Linked DNA regions of Neurospora crassa OR74A. The protein of the gene in region 2 interacts with the protein of the main gene of each other region in a biochemical or structural test. Links are inferred from orthologs where the notes say so. Each region holds a gene or a part of one and is shown on either strand. Other genes may lie near its edges.

The links. The genes of interacting proteins can lie anywhere in the genome.
Region 1: the proteins of NCU06593 (region 2) and krev-1 form a complex in vitro, tested with the Saccharomyces cerevisiae proteins (2 studies listed by BioGRID). The link is inferred for Neurospora crassa OR74A from reciprocal best matches to the Saccharomyces cerevisiae genes BEM1 and RSR1.

Annotation. Positions count from the first base shown.
Region 1 is NC_026501.1:1,020,788-1,028,742, reverse strand, and holds krev-1 (krev-1), read left to right. Parts: upstream 1-3,765; 5' UTR 3,766-5,042; coding exon 5,043-5,071; intron 5,072-5,249; coding exon 5,250-5,281; intron 5,282-5,453; coding exon 5,454-5,480; intron 5,481-5,595; coding exon 5,596-5,675; intron 5,676-5,744; coding exon 5,745-5,767; intron 5,768-5,847; coding exon 5,848-5,876; intron 5,877-5,952; coding exon 5,953-6,210; intron 6,211-6,270; coding exon 6,271-6,470; 3' UTR 6,471-6,548; downstream 6,549-7,955. Other genes in the region: NCU02168 (PQ loop repeat protein), read right to left, coding at 7,514-7,955. UniProt on the Saccharomyces cerevisiae protein: Ras-related protein which binds GDP/GTP and possesses intrinsic GTPase activity. Involved in development of cell polarity during the cell division cycle, and essential for bud emergence.
Region 2 is NC_026504.1:1,740,441-1,748,510, reverse strand, and holds NCU06593 (MAP kinase activator), read left to right. Parts: upstream 1-3,220; 5' UTR 3,221-4,453; coding exon 4,454-4,459; intron 4,460-4,845; coding exon 4,846-4,941; intron 4,942-4,999; coding exon 5,000-5,740; intron 5,741-5,798; coding exon 5,799-6,674; 3' UTR 6,675-7,679; downstream 7,680-8,070.

The sequences.
Region 1 (7,955 bases), on a different chromosome or scaffold from region 2:
TCTGTGTTTCTGATCCGTAGGCCCTCGGCAGCCCCCGCTCAGCACCGGCGATGATGTAAGTTGGGGACGGCGGTGATGCGGATCTTGTCACAGTTTTCTTGAGTGATATCTACGAGAAAGAAAGAAGAAGAAAAAAAAAAAAAGGAGTGGAGGGGTCTATAATCTGAAGGTGAAGAGCGAGAAGTAAATAGGTTGAAAGGTTAGTAGGTGTTCAGACAAAAAGAAAATCGCATCGACTATCGGATTCCCCAACGAGAAGCCGTTGCTATTGTTGGGTGCTCTTGGCGTTTGCTATACATCTAGGTATCTACCTGTTCACTCCGTCAAACTTTTGCTCGATCATGTCAAAGTTTTGTGACCGTTCAAGTCACTTCCACAAGCAAAGGTTAACTTGAATGTGTCAAGTAACAGGTTCAGGGGCAAAAAAAAAAAAGCCTGGTAATCTCCGCGCCTGAGTTGATTTGAATTGAATGTCATTTTCTTTCCTACACGTGCCTTGCCTCGAGCCGGGTATCGCGTTTGGAGGAGGCTCAAACTCCTGTGCATCGTTGTTTCTGCGCGACATCCAGCTGTTCCTTTCAGCCTCAGAAACGTAAGCAAGAGCAAATGACTTCCACCGAAGGTTATGTTTACTCGTCACCAGAGTTGTTGAGCATTGATATTTCCGTTTTTGGAAAACGCTCACAGTCCTGGGATTGACGAATAGAGACTTATTTTCAAGTGGTTCAAGGCTGTCCAACCGTGAGTCTCAGCTCCAGCCGCAAGCTTACTCTCACTTCAGTTTACCTTTCATCCAGTCCCCGAGATAAATTGCCCACGACGACCACAGCATTCGCTAGTCGGCTGCAGTGCTCCGTCATACCGAGCTTCATTGAGACTTGGGCATATCATCCAGACACAGGAAGTTTAGCAGGGTATCGTTGAACAGACCTACTCGGTTGAGCACAGCTTTTCAGCGAAGTGAAGGCTGTGGCATATTGGTTTTCGACCGGTTTCCCAACTTTTACTAACGTTGGTGAGTTGATACACCATTTATTGACCTGAATCGAGTACCACTGCAGCGGGCGGGTGTACGGGGAAGAGAGTGATCGTGAGATTCATGATCCCGTAGTAACGCAATACTGGAAGCCGTTGACGTAGGGAGCCCCAGGTCAGCAACTAGGGAGGGTATCAGCTTGTGCTTTGGGAGTGATGTTCTCTAGGGGTTGCGCAACGCAACACCGGTTGTTGTTGCTAAGTAACTCTGGCCGGCTTGCTTCAGTTGTTGGAGCCTACAGCCACCTGAACGGCAAATGGCTTGTGGACGGCCGCCCTCCTTGTGGTCCAGCATATCCATGCCAAACCCCCAGGAGAGACCAAGCTGATGCTCTTTGCGCTGATAATATCATCAACTAGTCCAAAGCGGTAACTTCTCAATGTCACTCCAACATGTCAACCTGTTTAACCCAATGCCGGCTGTACACTACTGCGTAAATGTATGCCAGGAATAGCAATCGCTTTGGTATGATATGCATCTATTTGCCTCGTACCTGGCAGCTTTGACACCACCATTCAGAGATAGGTTGCATTCCGATTCGGTACCGTAAGCTGGCAGGTACAAGTGGTTCGTCATTCGGGGAATCATCTCCAGGAGTAATACCCTATCCCAAGCCCGGCCAACGGCTCCAATGCCTGGCTTCCGTCTTGGATGGCAAAGTCAAGGTCAATGTCAGGAGAACCCAATACCTTTTTTTTTTTTTTTTTTTTATTTTCATATGGATGCTTTTCTCCTGACAACAGCAAGAAGGCTTGATGGTGGACCTTGTAGATCTTACAAACTCTTAGCTTTGTTCACAGTGCTGTCACTCGAGTAGCCTCGGGCTGTCTGGTCTGCAAGATAATATTGGTCCTGGAACTGAGACCGAGAGATGTTGACGCACGGGCCATGAGATGACAACACCCGATGTTCGTCGACAAAAAGTTGCCCGCCGCCGCCGCCGCTGGCGTGTTTGTATGTATACAACATCGGATGGTGAAGCCTTTATAAAAGGAGAATCGCCGATAAACGGTGGTATAGGTTGATTGGCTAGTTGGTAGAACTGGAGGTGTGACACGTTGAGAGATGGCGTCGGAAGGTTGTTGTCCATCGGAGCACGAAGGAAGGGCAAAGGAGCAAGATACGAGCTGCGACGTAACCTATTAACCTGTGCTGTGCCAGGTCGTAGCTGATGTGTGAGAGCTTCGTAGAAAGTACACAAGTGAAATGGCTGAAGAGAGAGAGTCCGATAGACGTCGCAGTCCGACCGACATCGGGATATTGACATGGCGAACATGCTCGGTATTCGTGGATCGTGAGTTATGCCGGATCTTTGCTTCCAGGGTATCCCGTCCAGTCAGAGAGGGGTTTATTGATCGCCAAGGGATCCTATTTTTTTCCTTTGCATGAGACAACAAAAGAGGCGAGAGCGTCTGATGATTATTTGGTTGAAGGTGGCAGAAACAGAAGACGTAAAGTTAGCAATTTGGGAGAAAAAGAAAACAGCGATTGGCGAACGGTGGTCTGGACTTCAATGTCGGCCATTGGAAACCCTGACTTCTCGCCTAAATACCCTGGTTCGACTGAATGACATATAGAGCATGGGTCACTGCATAATGAAAGGTCGCAGGTGAGGCCGCTTGGCCGTTGAGGATGGTCGAACGGTGGGTGTTTGGAGTTAAGTTAAGGGAAGTTGAAGCGGCCGGCGAGCCCCTCACTCTCTTGCATAACCTACTAGGTATATGCTCCAGGTGCGGGACCGGCCAGGTGAGCACAACTGGAGAGGGAAGAAAGCTCTCGCCGCTGTACACTTGGGTTTCGGCAGGACATGGTTAGCCCTTCCTCTTTCGGGTCCAGATATCCACCAACCCCGCGAACTTGTGTGTGTGTGTACCTGACGAGCAATAGATGGGCATCAACACCTAGCAATTTGCTTTATCATGTGCCATTCAATGGTTTGCAACGAAGTTGAATAGGTATCAATCGAGGGGCAATAAACACCATGCTGCAGCATTGACAGGCACTTACAGCGAGTGGAGGTAGGGAGCTGATGCGCAACTAAAGTCCCAACTGATATGTAACCATTTCAGGCCAATTGGAGCAAAGCCTCCACCTGGACGGGAGCCATAAATTCGGATTGTCAATCGCGAAGACAGTTGATGGCTTCATGGCCAGCCAAAGAAATGGGAAAGCAACGAAACGACACAGTATTTCCGTCCGAGACATGGACGGGCTGTCATGCGCCCGCCGTCTCTTGCAGCAAGATATGTCGCTTGGCCATGTCCACGGTACGGACCGTCGACCAAGTATGTATCCGTCATCCGGACAGCAGTCACCACTCCGTCACCTTAACTGCATGGGCGCCTATCCAGACAATGTCTCGTCTGTCCGTTTGGTTCCGCTTCACGGTTCTTTTGTTGGCGTGGCTGTCGTGTATCCCCAGAGTTGGGCTGGACGCCACCGTCGAGTTGACCATAGTGGCCATTGCTCCGGCAGGTCCCCGGCGGTTACTGAACAGCATATCATGACTGGAGGCAGACAGACACTCGGCGGCTTTGCGGAAGTACAAGTGCCGATGATGGAGGTGGATAAAGAGGAGTTATGATGGACACGATGGGTAATCTGGTCGCCCCGGACTTTCTTTTGCCTTTCGTGTTCTCTTTTATTTTTGAGATATCAAACCCATTCCATCTCAGGTCTGGACTCTATACAAACACGCTGAGCTCGCATATGGCATATTGGAGTCACTAAACACCCCCGTCTTATCAACGCAACGTCTCGTGATATCCTTCACAAAGGCAGTGGCCGGGATCCTCGACATCAACCCTAGCTGGTTTGATCGGGACATCTGGGACCCAGCAACGCGCACGCGAGGCTCGGCCCTGTAACCGGGGCGCTGGTTCCTCATCAGCCGGTGGGCTTGAACTCATCTAGGCCTTTTTGGCTTCTGAAGCCATCCCGGACTAGACTCCACCGGGTACCACTTTGGGCACCACCACGGCACCACAAGCGGCGGACGAGACCCTCACGACCCTTCTGACCCGTTTAGGCTTCTCGCCTTTCTGTTGGAACCATCGATGCTTAATTATTTGCTTGCGCCCAGCTGGAAAGCAACGGTTCAGCACGCCCTTCCAGCCCATCCATTCCCGCCCTTCCCCGGCGCTTTGGCCCCCAACCCCTCCTCGAAAGAGATAGGTACTTCACAGGCTGTATACTTTACCCCCCAAACTCCCGGAGGCGCTTGTTGCTTCGTGTTGTGCTCTGCTCAGTTTTAAACAGTTCATGTGGGTGGATTGTTGGGACGGAACCGAGAAGTCACAGTCACGTTAACGACGCGCGAGAACAACCTTGTGTAGAGGGGGCCAGCCGCCAATTCAGTCGAAGTGAAAAAAGAGCCCTGCGAAATTGGGAGGCCCAAAATTTTCTAAAGCGGTCCAGAATCCCGACTCGGAGCGATTCCCCTCAGGTCGTTGCTACGTACCTACCGATACCGATACCCTTTCCCAGAAGGCGAGAACGGACTCGAGACTCATCCTTCTTTCGCTTTCAAAATCGCTTGCTGGGAGAAATTTACCTTCACGTAAAGGTGGCCCCCATCCTTCTCGGTTTACGGTCCGGATTGTTCCCGGTGGACTGCTGCATGGTGTGACGGCCGAGCGGGCATATCGTCGCATCCGCCAATATAGCGCCCCGCGAATAGCTAGAGCTATTTGGAGCGAGCTGGCTAGGCTTTGACCTCTTTTTCGTCTGATCTGCAAAAGTTGGAGATTCCGGCGAGCCGATCCCAAACACTGAAGCAAAAAAATAACACGGCGCGCAGCAAAAGGGGGCAGCATATCAGATCAAAGTCGCCCATCCCAAAAGCGACGACGACAACCACCCCGATATCTACCGCACACGCAAACGCATTCGCATCTTCGAAACGGGCAGAGTGTGACGGGCCAGGACGCGTGTATTGGCTTTTACTCTGCCCTTCAGTTCGTATAAGCCCTGGCCAGCTGTCTGAGGTGGACTCCTCCCGTTGACCATGATGCGCACTTACGGATTCCAGCCTTGGTGAGCACCCACTCTCTTATATTACATCAGTGTTTGATGGGCCTCCATCTTCAGACGCCCCCTCGTATTTCTATTCTAGAGCACAGCCTACCTTACACATCAATGGGGCCACAGCAGTGCTCATCAGACGTCCTGTCACTCCCTAACCTCTTTGCTCTGATGCTGATTCGTCCTATAGCCGCGAATTCCACATCGTTGTCCTAGGTACCGGTATGTTGTGCTCCACCCTGCTCTTTCACCTGACTTTTCGCTGTGAACCCCATCGTGGAAAAAAAAAATCAAAAAATCAAGAAAATCACACAAAAAAAAACACACACAAACCCCCTATGCCAAGACATGCGCATCACATGCTACAACTGCTGACTTTGATGGCTTACTTAAGGAGGTGTCGGCAAGAGTTGCTTAACTGGTATGTTGTGTGCCCCCAAAGTCTAAACCCGATTCAACCACACCTGCATGATGACCCCTGTCACCTGTGTGGACAAGACAACGGAACACTATACTGAACATGTTGTGAACAACAGCACAATTTGTACACAATGAATGGATTGAAAGCTATGATCCAACCATTGAGGACTCGTATAGGACACAGGTGGCTGTCGATGTAAGTCTTAACTTTTCTATTCTATTAATTGAATGTTTATGTTCCAGACTTGCTAACGAGGACCTCCAGGGACGACAAGTGATACTGGAAATGTGAGACCTTCCTCATTTACACTTCACCCTCACTGACACTTCACTTTTTGACCGGGTAATGCTAACATGTAGCTCATCAGCCTCGACACGGCCGGTACAGAACAGTTCGGTGAGTAACAGAACCGCCCTGGGTCAACTAACACCCTCCAACTTGAAACTTGCCTCGCTAACACTTTGGGCAAAAGTTGCTATGCGAGACCTGTACATGAAGGCCGGCCAAGGATTCCTGTTAGTCTTCAGTATAACCTCGCAAGCCTCGCTAGACGAGCTCGCCACGCTTCGGGAAGAGATCATACGCATCAAAGATGACGAGAACATCCCCATCGTCATGGTGGGCAACAAGGCCGACCTGCTAGACCAACGAGCCGTCGATCGCGCAAAGGCCTTTACCATTTCTCAGCAGTGGAATGCGCCTTATTATGAGGCTAGTGCTAGGACGAGGAGTATGTTGTTCATGTCCCTATTCAAAAAGAGAAAGATTAGGTACTGACACTTCCAAAAAGCAAACGTTGACGAAGTCTTCATCGACCTCTGCCGCCAAATGCTCCGAAGAGACGATAGCGGCCAACTAGATGACGACGATGGCGCACGCAATGGTAGCGGGTACGGCTACGGCCAAGGGAAACAGGAGGATGGTCATGGGCCCATGAAGAAGAAGCGGAGGAGAAAGAGGAAGGGCGATCACAAGTGCATAATCATGTGAAGCAAACTGAACGCCTTTTACATAACACCTTAGTGCCTCACAGCGTTAATAAGATGATGGTCTCGGGATTGAGGAACTCTTTTTTTTTTTTTTTTTTTTTTTTTTTTTTTTTTTTTTTTTGGCTTGTCTTGAATCCAGGTTTCGAGGCCTCCGACTCAAAATTAGTGTGGGGAAAGAGAGAAGCTCCAACTGCGGCCCGGCGGGATGAGGGGAAATTCGGGTTACGGACGAGTTGGACGGAAAGAACTTAAGGATATTTTGATTTGAAGACGTTTTGGGAAGGCTCGATAAGAACAGTCAAGGCAGGAGCGGAAGGTGCCGAGGATATCAGGACGGCCTAAAGGACCGGCTCTTGACTTTTTTCAGATCTCGAGATCTTATCAGCTCGAATCCCCGCCTCCATTTTCCAACTGAACCTGGAAGCTGCCGAGGGTAACTGGTCGCATCTATCAACCCGAGCCGTTTTCATTGTTTGCTTTCATCGTTCAGGTCACGGTTATTTCCTTTTTCCTTCTTTTTGACATTTGCATTGGAGGTTGTCTGACGTTTTGAGCCGCCTTCGTTTCTTTCCTTGTATTTTCTTGTTCCGCCATCATTAGGGAGGGCAAATTGGTGTTCACCTCCTGCATTCCCTGGTTACGATACCCTCACATCTGATCGATGTCTTTCATGTGCTTATTTACTTGTTAAAAAATATGGAAGAATAAATCCCCAGACGGGATACATTCGAACACGGCTGTTGGTAGAACAATGAAAACAATTAGCTACTTGGATTCTATTACTATCTGCTAGCCGTCAGCGGCTTCCATTCCTCATATATCCTCGTTCCTACTTTCATTTTTCATGTTCAACCAGCTGATGTGTCCCTGGCTATCATGCGTTCACTCGCACAGCCTTCGTATCCCGTAGCGAAGTTCCAGCCATGGTATCATATCCAAACCCGAAACCAAAACCAACTATTCCAGTTCTCTTTTGTTGTTCCTCAACATCCAGCTTCGTTTCTGTATATCCTCATCAGGCATCCATCCATCACGCCGTCCCCTTCAGGCCCTGTCTACCGCCCTGTTCTCCCCATCCACCATGGTAGGCGTACTTGCATCTGTATCCTCCGCGTTCCCGTTTTGATTTTGTGCCTCAGCCATCGCCATCTTACTGTCCAAAGCCCCATCACGTTGCTGTTCCACAGCATCAGCAGCAGAATTACTGACATCCTGCTTTTCCAAGTCCCTTTGCTCAATCTCCACTTCACCCTCCTCCTCTTCCCTCTTCTTGTCCTTCCTCGCCCAAAACTTCAACCTCCCCAAATCCAAATCCCTCTCTGCCCACTTCCAACTCTCTCCCCGCTTCTCATACTCGCCCAACAAATCGTCAAAAGTCTTGCCGTCCTTTTTGAGTTGCTTCCTTATGCTTCTCGTCCTCACCAGCCAAATCAAGTGCGACGCAAAGATGCCTAGCTCGAGGAAGGCGCAAATGATGTAGAGCACA
Region 2 (8,070 bases):
CTGAGTCCTTATTTCCTATCGTCGCCGCACCCGCCCACATCGTTCCCAACTCTTTCAAGACATGAGCACCGGCTGTCGACCTCACGTTTCTACTTCATCTCCGCCTTCGTAGTTTCTCACCTCGGTCACCGGGATCTGCACCCTTGCGTCGTCATGCAGTAGTTTGATATTATTGATAGCACGCCCTTCGTCGACCTATGTCGCTGTCCTACCCCACGACATTTGCGACCTGGGCTTCTATCGCCAACACCTCATGGGGGATTTCGGCGATAGAGAATACCGACGGGTTTTCTATCTCCGTTTCTTCGTTGTCAATTCCGATGTTACTCCCTGAATAGTAACGTGGAATGCGTTAGAGGAAGCCCACGTCATGCCTTGTGGAGCTCTTACACTGACGAAAACCACTTCTTCCCCCGAGTCGTCTCACGACCTCACGATCCGCCAGGTTGCCACTTGCAACGCAGTCCGACTTACCTTTTCAGCTAGTTCCTTCAGGACAGGCGCAGATCCTGTTCTTCAATGTCATTTGCCAGCATCAGGTCAACCTAATTGACCTCAAACGTGGTTGAGGCGTGCAGTATTCGAATCTGCCTACTCTACTCAAAAATGGAGACGTAATATCCACCGTTTTCGGAACCCATTCTCGGTGGACAGGATGATAGATGGCGTCTTCGCACATCGACCCCCTTCTTTCCCGATCAATGTGTCTTGCCGGAGGATCTCGACGTGTCGGCTCACGGGGTCTCTTGTTTTAGCAAGCATTAGGGTCATGCGGAGGTGACCTTTGGCGACGTGGAAGCAGCAGCATTAGTTGCTATGGTGCTGTAGTGGCACCCTGCTCTCCTTCTATGCGTCCTTACAGGCACCGCTCTCTTATTCAACAATTTTTCAGTATCCCTTGCGTTCCGGTGTCGGCATCTTTGGGTGGTGGTTTGGGTCAGCGAGCATAGGGTTTTGGCGTCTCGGGGTGTCAAAACTGCTTGCATTTGTCCCTTGTCTTTTTTTCTTTGTTCCTTCTTCATGCTAGTACAGGTAACTCAGGTGTTTGGCGTTAAGGGAACAATGCTAAGAGCAGGGAGGTTGAGTGGGCATGTCTTACAGTTAGCAAAATAAGAACGTACTTAGTGAGCTCCAGCACACAACACAGTCATATTGTGCGCCGTCGATATCGATGCCATCCTTGTTGTCTTTTGAGTCAGAGTACGGGGAGCCGGAGGCCAACACAATCGGCCGCGCATCATAATCAATGGTGGAAAAGGGTCGGGTCCTTCGACTTCTGCCCGCATTGCAAGCAGATGTGACGAACCTCCATGCTACGCGTTTGCTTCTTGATGCAGTTGCTAACTTAACCTTGGGTCGAATTGAAGCGGTGGCTGGTGAGGCGAAAGATAGACACCATACCATGTGGAAAAAGGAAAAATACCACGCTGCCTCATTGCTTACAGGTGCGCCAGCGGGCATCCCGGCCCGTCGTGTGCTCCTCGCGTCACATCCCGATTGGTCAAACCTCGTGCATGTACGTAGAAGTCGTGCATCGATAAATGGAAAGAGGGTTGAAACCATTGCCATGGAAAACATGGCAATTGGCGGCTTTTCTTGGGCGTTGTTCATGTCCAATAGAGAGGGTGAAGATGTTGAGTATTCGAAGGACGTCCGTCCACTTGCACTATTCTCGTGTTTATGATTCCCTCTAGGAGCTCGCATATTATTGTTGTGGCCAGAATGAGATGAACATGATACAAAGGCCGAACAGAAACCCCGAAATGACAAAAAGTGAGATTTGTTAAGCAAAAGAATAAGAAAAGAAAGAAAAAACTGGATCGGTTAATGCCCAGATTCCAAAATCGGGAGCTTTGCGGCAGAGCCCTACCAGGCCGTTACAGTGCTGTCTCTATCGAGTCTAGACGCCAATGCTCCTTGTTCGCTGTTGGGTTGGGTTGTTCTGATTAGTCAGGCACAGGCCGCGGAGCTTCATCCGAAATACCCCGAGACCGAGAACCGATATCTACCTAAAATTTGATCGCGATGCTTTTTGCTGCACCAATGAAGGAGATTCGGACTGTGTAGAATGAATCTGCCAAACATAGGTAGATCTGAAAATCCCGAGCTAAGTCGCCATCAGAAGGACATATGTCAGCGTCAATCCAGTGATGCTAGTACTAGGCTTTTTCCTACTAGGGGTTGCTTGTGAACCGTCTTGGAGGCCTTGCATTCTATCGAGTCCCCTTCGGCTTTCAAGTCCACCGACGTTATGATGGAGCCCGATGTCAATGCATTGACAAGGTGTGGGCTTTGAACATCTCATGACGCATCGTATGAGTTGATGCACTAACAGCAGGCATATTCCTGCCTCACAGCATCGACTTGTTGTCGACGACGACGCCTTTCAAGTCACTTGGATGGGTAGTGACGGAACAGACTCGAGAATGAAGCAATCAATCCTTCAGTTGAGGTTGGAGAAGTGAGAAAAAATCCTCAGGTACCGTGTCCATAACACCCTGGTTGTCGACTCGACTCAGCAAACCAACCACAGTTTCCGCTATGACAAGCGCGATCACGATGCATATGCAGTGGCTTCAAAGATATGTACAATATCATGCACACTAGCACGCACACATATCTTAGGCCAGGCAATGACAGCGACAAAGATACCAACGGAGAATACCTGAGGGAGCAGCAATCTTAGCTTTTCAATGGCCTCATTGCGCGCGGCTCATCTTTGATCAGATCGTGTAAGACTAGCAAGCTGGTTGGTTTCAGTTGAGATTTGACGTTGGCCGACTTCTTTCATTCGTTTGTCGCAAAGTTCCTGGTCGTATCGCGGTGGGCACGTCCGGAATCCCAAAGATCGAGAGCGGCCAAGAAACAGTGGAGGTACCTAAGAACGAAAGCCAATTCGAATCCACCACAGCCAGGTCCAGGGAGGGTGGGTCCCTCTGGACGTGAGAACCCTGGCGGCGCTCTCCAATTGCACCAACATGCAGGGCAGCAACTGCGCCAATCAACCAGGCCGGGGTGCCTTCAGGTACCTGCCCGCGCGGCCTCTGCGCTGCTGCAACGCTACAATTCCCCTCTTAAGTCGAGGTCCTTGGCCGTCCATTGTCATGCCGATTGTCATGCGGATGCTAACGGCTAGATAGAGGCAGCCACCCTTTCACGGTCAGGACACGGACATAAACTAGCAGACACTAACAGACACTAGGCGAATAAGCAAGCCTGAGTGGCTGTTTTTCCAACATGTTCCATGCCGTCCGTCTCGGCTAGGCTGGTGACTTGCTTGTGACCTTCATCACACCTACCCGCCCGTCTTCGAGCCATCTCCGGCCACCACCTCCACACCCTGTCGGCTTCCACTCTGCGAGAACACACCTGGACCCGACCCTTGGTGATCACCCTTGCTGCTTCCGTTGCAAGCTTGGCTTTGGGCTGTTGCTATCTCCCTTTTTATTATTTTTTTAATGCTATTGCTGCCCGTCCCGAGGACTAGCACGCAAGGCACGCAGGCCATATATCCCACCTGATCCTGATCCTTCCCCGCCACCGTGCAGTTTCCAGTTTCCATTCCCACCTGCCCGTTCGCTCGCTTCGTTCACTCATCACCAGTTCCAACTCTCGACAACCAACCTTCCTACTGCGACAGTCAAGTCCATCATCGCCGACAACACTCGTCGCAACACCCAACGCAACTCCCGGCGGATTGTCCACCACTACTTAGACATTCTAGAAGCGCTCGCCGGACTGGGACTTGCGCATTGAGCATTGGGTCTAGGCAGTCGGCATTGCGGCTGAACAAAGGAACAAGAGAATTGCATCAACACCACACGCCCACACGCCAGGCGGCCCTGATCAGGCTCAGACAAAGACGGAAAGCCAAGATTGAGGCAAACTCGGCCAGACAGCGAACTTGGGGTCAGCTATCCACTTGGGGAACAGAAGTATTGGGGCGCGACCATTTTACACGAAACGGTCGCCGAAATTAGCTGGACAACCGCTGCTTTCCAAATTACGTCTCCCTTACGTTCGCACGGTCGCAAACACTAGTGCAGCAGATAACGACCCCGTCCGCGATATCCACTCCCGTCATCGCCGCGCTGCTTTCCCGGCTCCCATCCGACCGATACATACGGCACATTTGGATCGTTACACAGATTCCACCTAGCAACACCCTCCACGACACACACACACACACACCACACACACGAGCAGAACCGCCCAGGACCAACCCCAGAGGGATCCTAGGCAAGCCCTCTCGCCGTCCGTCATTTGAGTCGGCGTAACCCCAACCACGATTGCCCGCGCACGCCGACACCAGGACGCCCGCTCCAAAAGTTGTTTGCTGACGCCTCTCACCCCGTCAGCCGTTCCTGTTTCTCTCTGTGTATAGCACAATAGTTCCGGTTTTGGTTTGTGTACACATAGCTTACAAGTCGTCTGAGTATCGCTGTCGGACAAGATGAAGGTACGTCATTCCCCGCTGTTCTGTGCTCTGCCATCCCCTCTCTCTTCCCTTCCCCGTCCCTCCTCCTCTTCAGTCCGATCGTTTTTGCTCGTTCCCCAGGAAACAGCCCTCGTGATTGTATAGCAGAGGCTTCACTGCTATTGGGGACATGAGAGATAGGATCGGGCTACGGCTCAGGTATTCATACACCATCACATAGGCGTTCTTGCCTTGGCCAATTCGTCACGATGCAATACAGCTTGCGTGAACCGGAAGAATCCTTTTTCTTAGTGTCTGCTCCATCTACACCCACAGCACCTCTCGAATTTTCTTGGCCTCGTCGGACTACTCATTTCAATACTGCGGTTTCGTCGTTCTGGCAACTAACAATGTCACGCGGTTTTAAGGCTCTACGAAGGTCCATCAAGGGTGGAGAGAAGGACTCCAAACCTCATATTACTATTCAACCGAAATCTGCCGTCGCCATCGTCCCTCCAAAGAAGGTATGTCTCGTAACAAGGTGTCAGCCACAAGGCGCTTAGGCTAAACTTGTTATCACAGGTTATAAAAGCTCTCTACGATTACGAAGCACAAAATGCACAGGAGCTTAGCTTTTCACGCGGCGATTTCTTCCATGTCATCGGTCGTGAAAATGACCCAGAGTGGTATGAGGCGTGCAACCCTGCGCTACCAGACGCTCGTGGTCTCGTGCCCGTCGCTTATTTCCAGGCCCTTGGACGTACGGAACGCGATAGCGGCCAGTCTCAAACCGGTTCACTGGGTTTGAAGACCGTAGATAGTGATTCTGGATACGGCGAAGGCTCGGCGGCCTCGCCTCCTGGAGCAAACGCCGCGAATCGGATGTCGAAAACGCCTGGCAAGAATGGAGCCATGGTTTATGGTGTCGTTTTGTACGATTTCCAAGCCGAACGGGCAGACGAATTGGAAGCCAAGCAGGGCGAGGCCATCATTGTCATTGCCCAGTCGAACCCCGAATGGTTCGTGGCTAAGCCCATCGGAAGACTTGGCGGCCCGGGTCTGATTCCCGTATCCTTTGTTGAGATCCGGGACATGGCGAGTAACACCCCTGTCCCGAACCCCCATGATGCCATACGAAAAGCTGGGATTCCAAAGGTCGAGGAGTGGAAGAAGATGGCTGCGGAATATAAGAACTCGAGCATAACGCTCGGCAAGTTCGATGTTGGTGGTGGCGGTGGTGGCCAACCACCACTTGACCAGGCCATGAACCGCTTAACTTTGCAAGGAAGCGCCCGGTTGAGCCAGCAGACTACTCATACCCAGGTACGTGTATTCTGTCCACTTACTTTGCGTGCGTGTTTGTACTAACAGGTCTTTGCAGCAACAGATACAGGCTCAAGGACAATCCTATTCGAGGCCAACCTCGACACTATACGCACCCATCGCAGCCAGGGTTCCGAGGTACTGCTTTGCCGAGGACAAGTACTGGTTTGTTATTGAAGCCGAACTGGAGGATGGTCGATGCTTCGAACTTTCGCGATACTACGAGGATTTCTACGACTTCCAAATCGCGCTCCTAACCGAGTTCCCTCTTGAAGCTGGAACTACAGGCGGCAAGCAGCGGACGCTACCCTACATGCCCGGTCCTGTTAATTACGTGACTGATGCGATTACGGAAGGCCGCCGCCACAACCTTGACTCTTACGTTAAAAGTCTACTGGAACAACCGCCACACATCTCCCGCTGTAACCTGGTCAAGCAGTTCTTTTCTCCTAGAGAGGGTGATTACGAAATCGACCCTAGCGTTGCTCGCGAGGAATACCGATTCTCTGGAGGCTCTGGTCCGTCCTCTGACTCACCAGCCGACGGCCTCTCACTACAGAGCACAGCCGGCAACAGATATTCTGCCGGTCTCGGTGTTCCTCAGAGGCAGCTGAGCATTGGCAACGGCCAACAGATTCCGGGACCTGGGCAGGCTTCACAGACCTCATTGTCACCTGCTATTATGCAGGGTGGTTCACAGATGAAAGTGAAACTGCACTTCAACGGCGACATCATCGCCATCCGCGTACCCACTGATATTCCATTCCAAGCTCTCCATGACAAGATTCTGGATCGTCTCAAGATTCCTCAGGGCGAGGACGTTCAGCTAAGTTACAAGGACGACGCGAGTGGCGAGAAGCCTCCTCTGATGAACGACGAAGATCTGGATATTGCACTGCAACGGAACGAAAAGCTGCTCGTTTACGTGGAATAATGGACTGACGGACTTTGAAACCCCAACCCATACACGTTTGTTGGCCATATTCCGATACACAGCGCATTCGGATACCATGGTCACATGCGCCATGTTTCACGAACATTTGATTCGAAGGCAGCAACTGGGTAAACTAAGCGCTCGGCCTTCAAAAGTCACGCCAGATGGCTACATACACAAGCAAGGCGAACAACGTGGAGGGAATTGCTCATTTGCGCACTCAGTTACATACCATCTTTTCTCGTTGACGGCTGCCAACAAACTGCTCTTTATCCAACACACAATGCGATATCTATACCCCACGCTATATACCCAAACGCATACGTAAATCATATAGGACTTCGCGGTTCAGTCGTTGTAATACATTTCGAATTGATCGGCTCGTCTCTCTCCACTCACTAAAATTTCTGGGACGCAGATGGTCATGGGGCATTTTGGATGCGGCAGGGACTTTGGGATACGGTGATATTTTTTTGGAACAGCTCAGGAGTCAGGCCAAAGGAGTCTGTGACCATGGTGAAAAAAAGGAAGGAAGTAGAGTCAGGGGAGGATCTGCGCGCTTGCTGGAAGGCTGCGGTGGGGCCAAGTTGGGAGATGGATTCTTGGTTAGGCGTGGGGGAGGGTGGAAGGATTAAATTTGATACCAAACTACGTTGCTACTCGAGGTCGAAGATGGGTGGTGGATTACCATAAGAAGAGGTGGTGGAGGTGGTAATGGTGGTGCTGAGGGTGATGACAAGGGACAAGAAGAAGAAGAAGGGGCCCTTGTGAATGGATGATGAATGAAATGAATTTACACCCACAGGCTTTTTGTGTTTCAGGATGTTGACCGAGATGGCGGGGGACACGGGGTATCGTTTCTGCAGTGTAGGTGAGATTTGAAGATATCCATGTGCAGTCAAGGTGTTTTTGGTAATAAAAAAATTGGGAGCGAAAGATGACCGGAGAAAAGAGAGTAGTGGTGGTCTACTCGCAGCCAGTAAGTAGCATAAATCTACATTTGAAGATATCGCGACTTCCGATAATTGCATGTGACATCTGCTATACAATGTCATTGGAAGTTGAATAAATGCACAATTACGGCAAATGCCAAGCCCATCGAAAACATACATCGCATTCTTGTTCTGGTAAAGGAAGCAATGGTAACAATGACACTTCCACAACAATCAGTCAAAGTTCGTTACATATTTACAAAGTTGGAAGTAACGAAGTCGATGCCGTTTCACACTACCAATGTAATGCTTGTAAGTCAACCAGCCCGAAGGCCAGATCTAGGAAATTCTTACTGAAAAGCATACAGAAATGCAATATACGTCCCCAACTAATAACTCCGAGGCTCACATATCACCTATGAAAAGTGAGTTGGGCGTACAACGAACCGTATACCCCTGCTCCC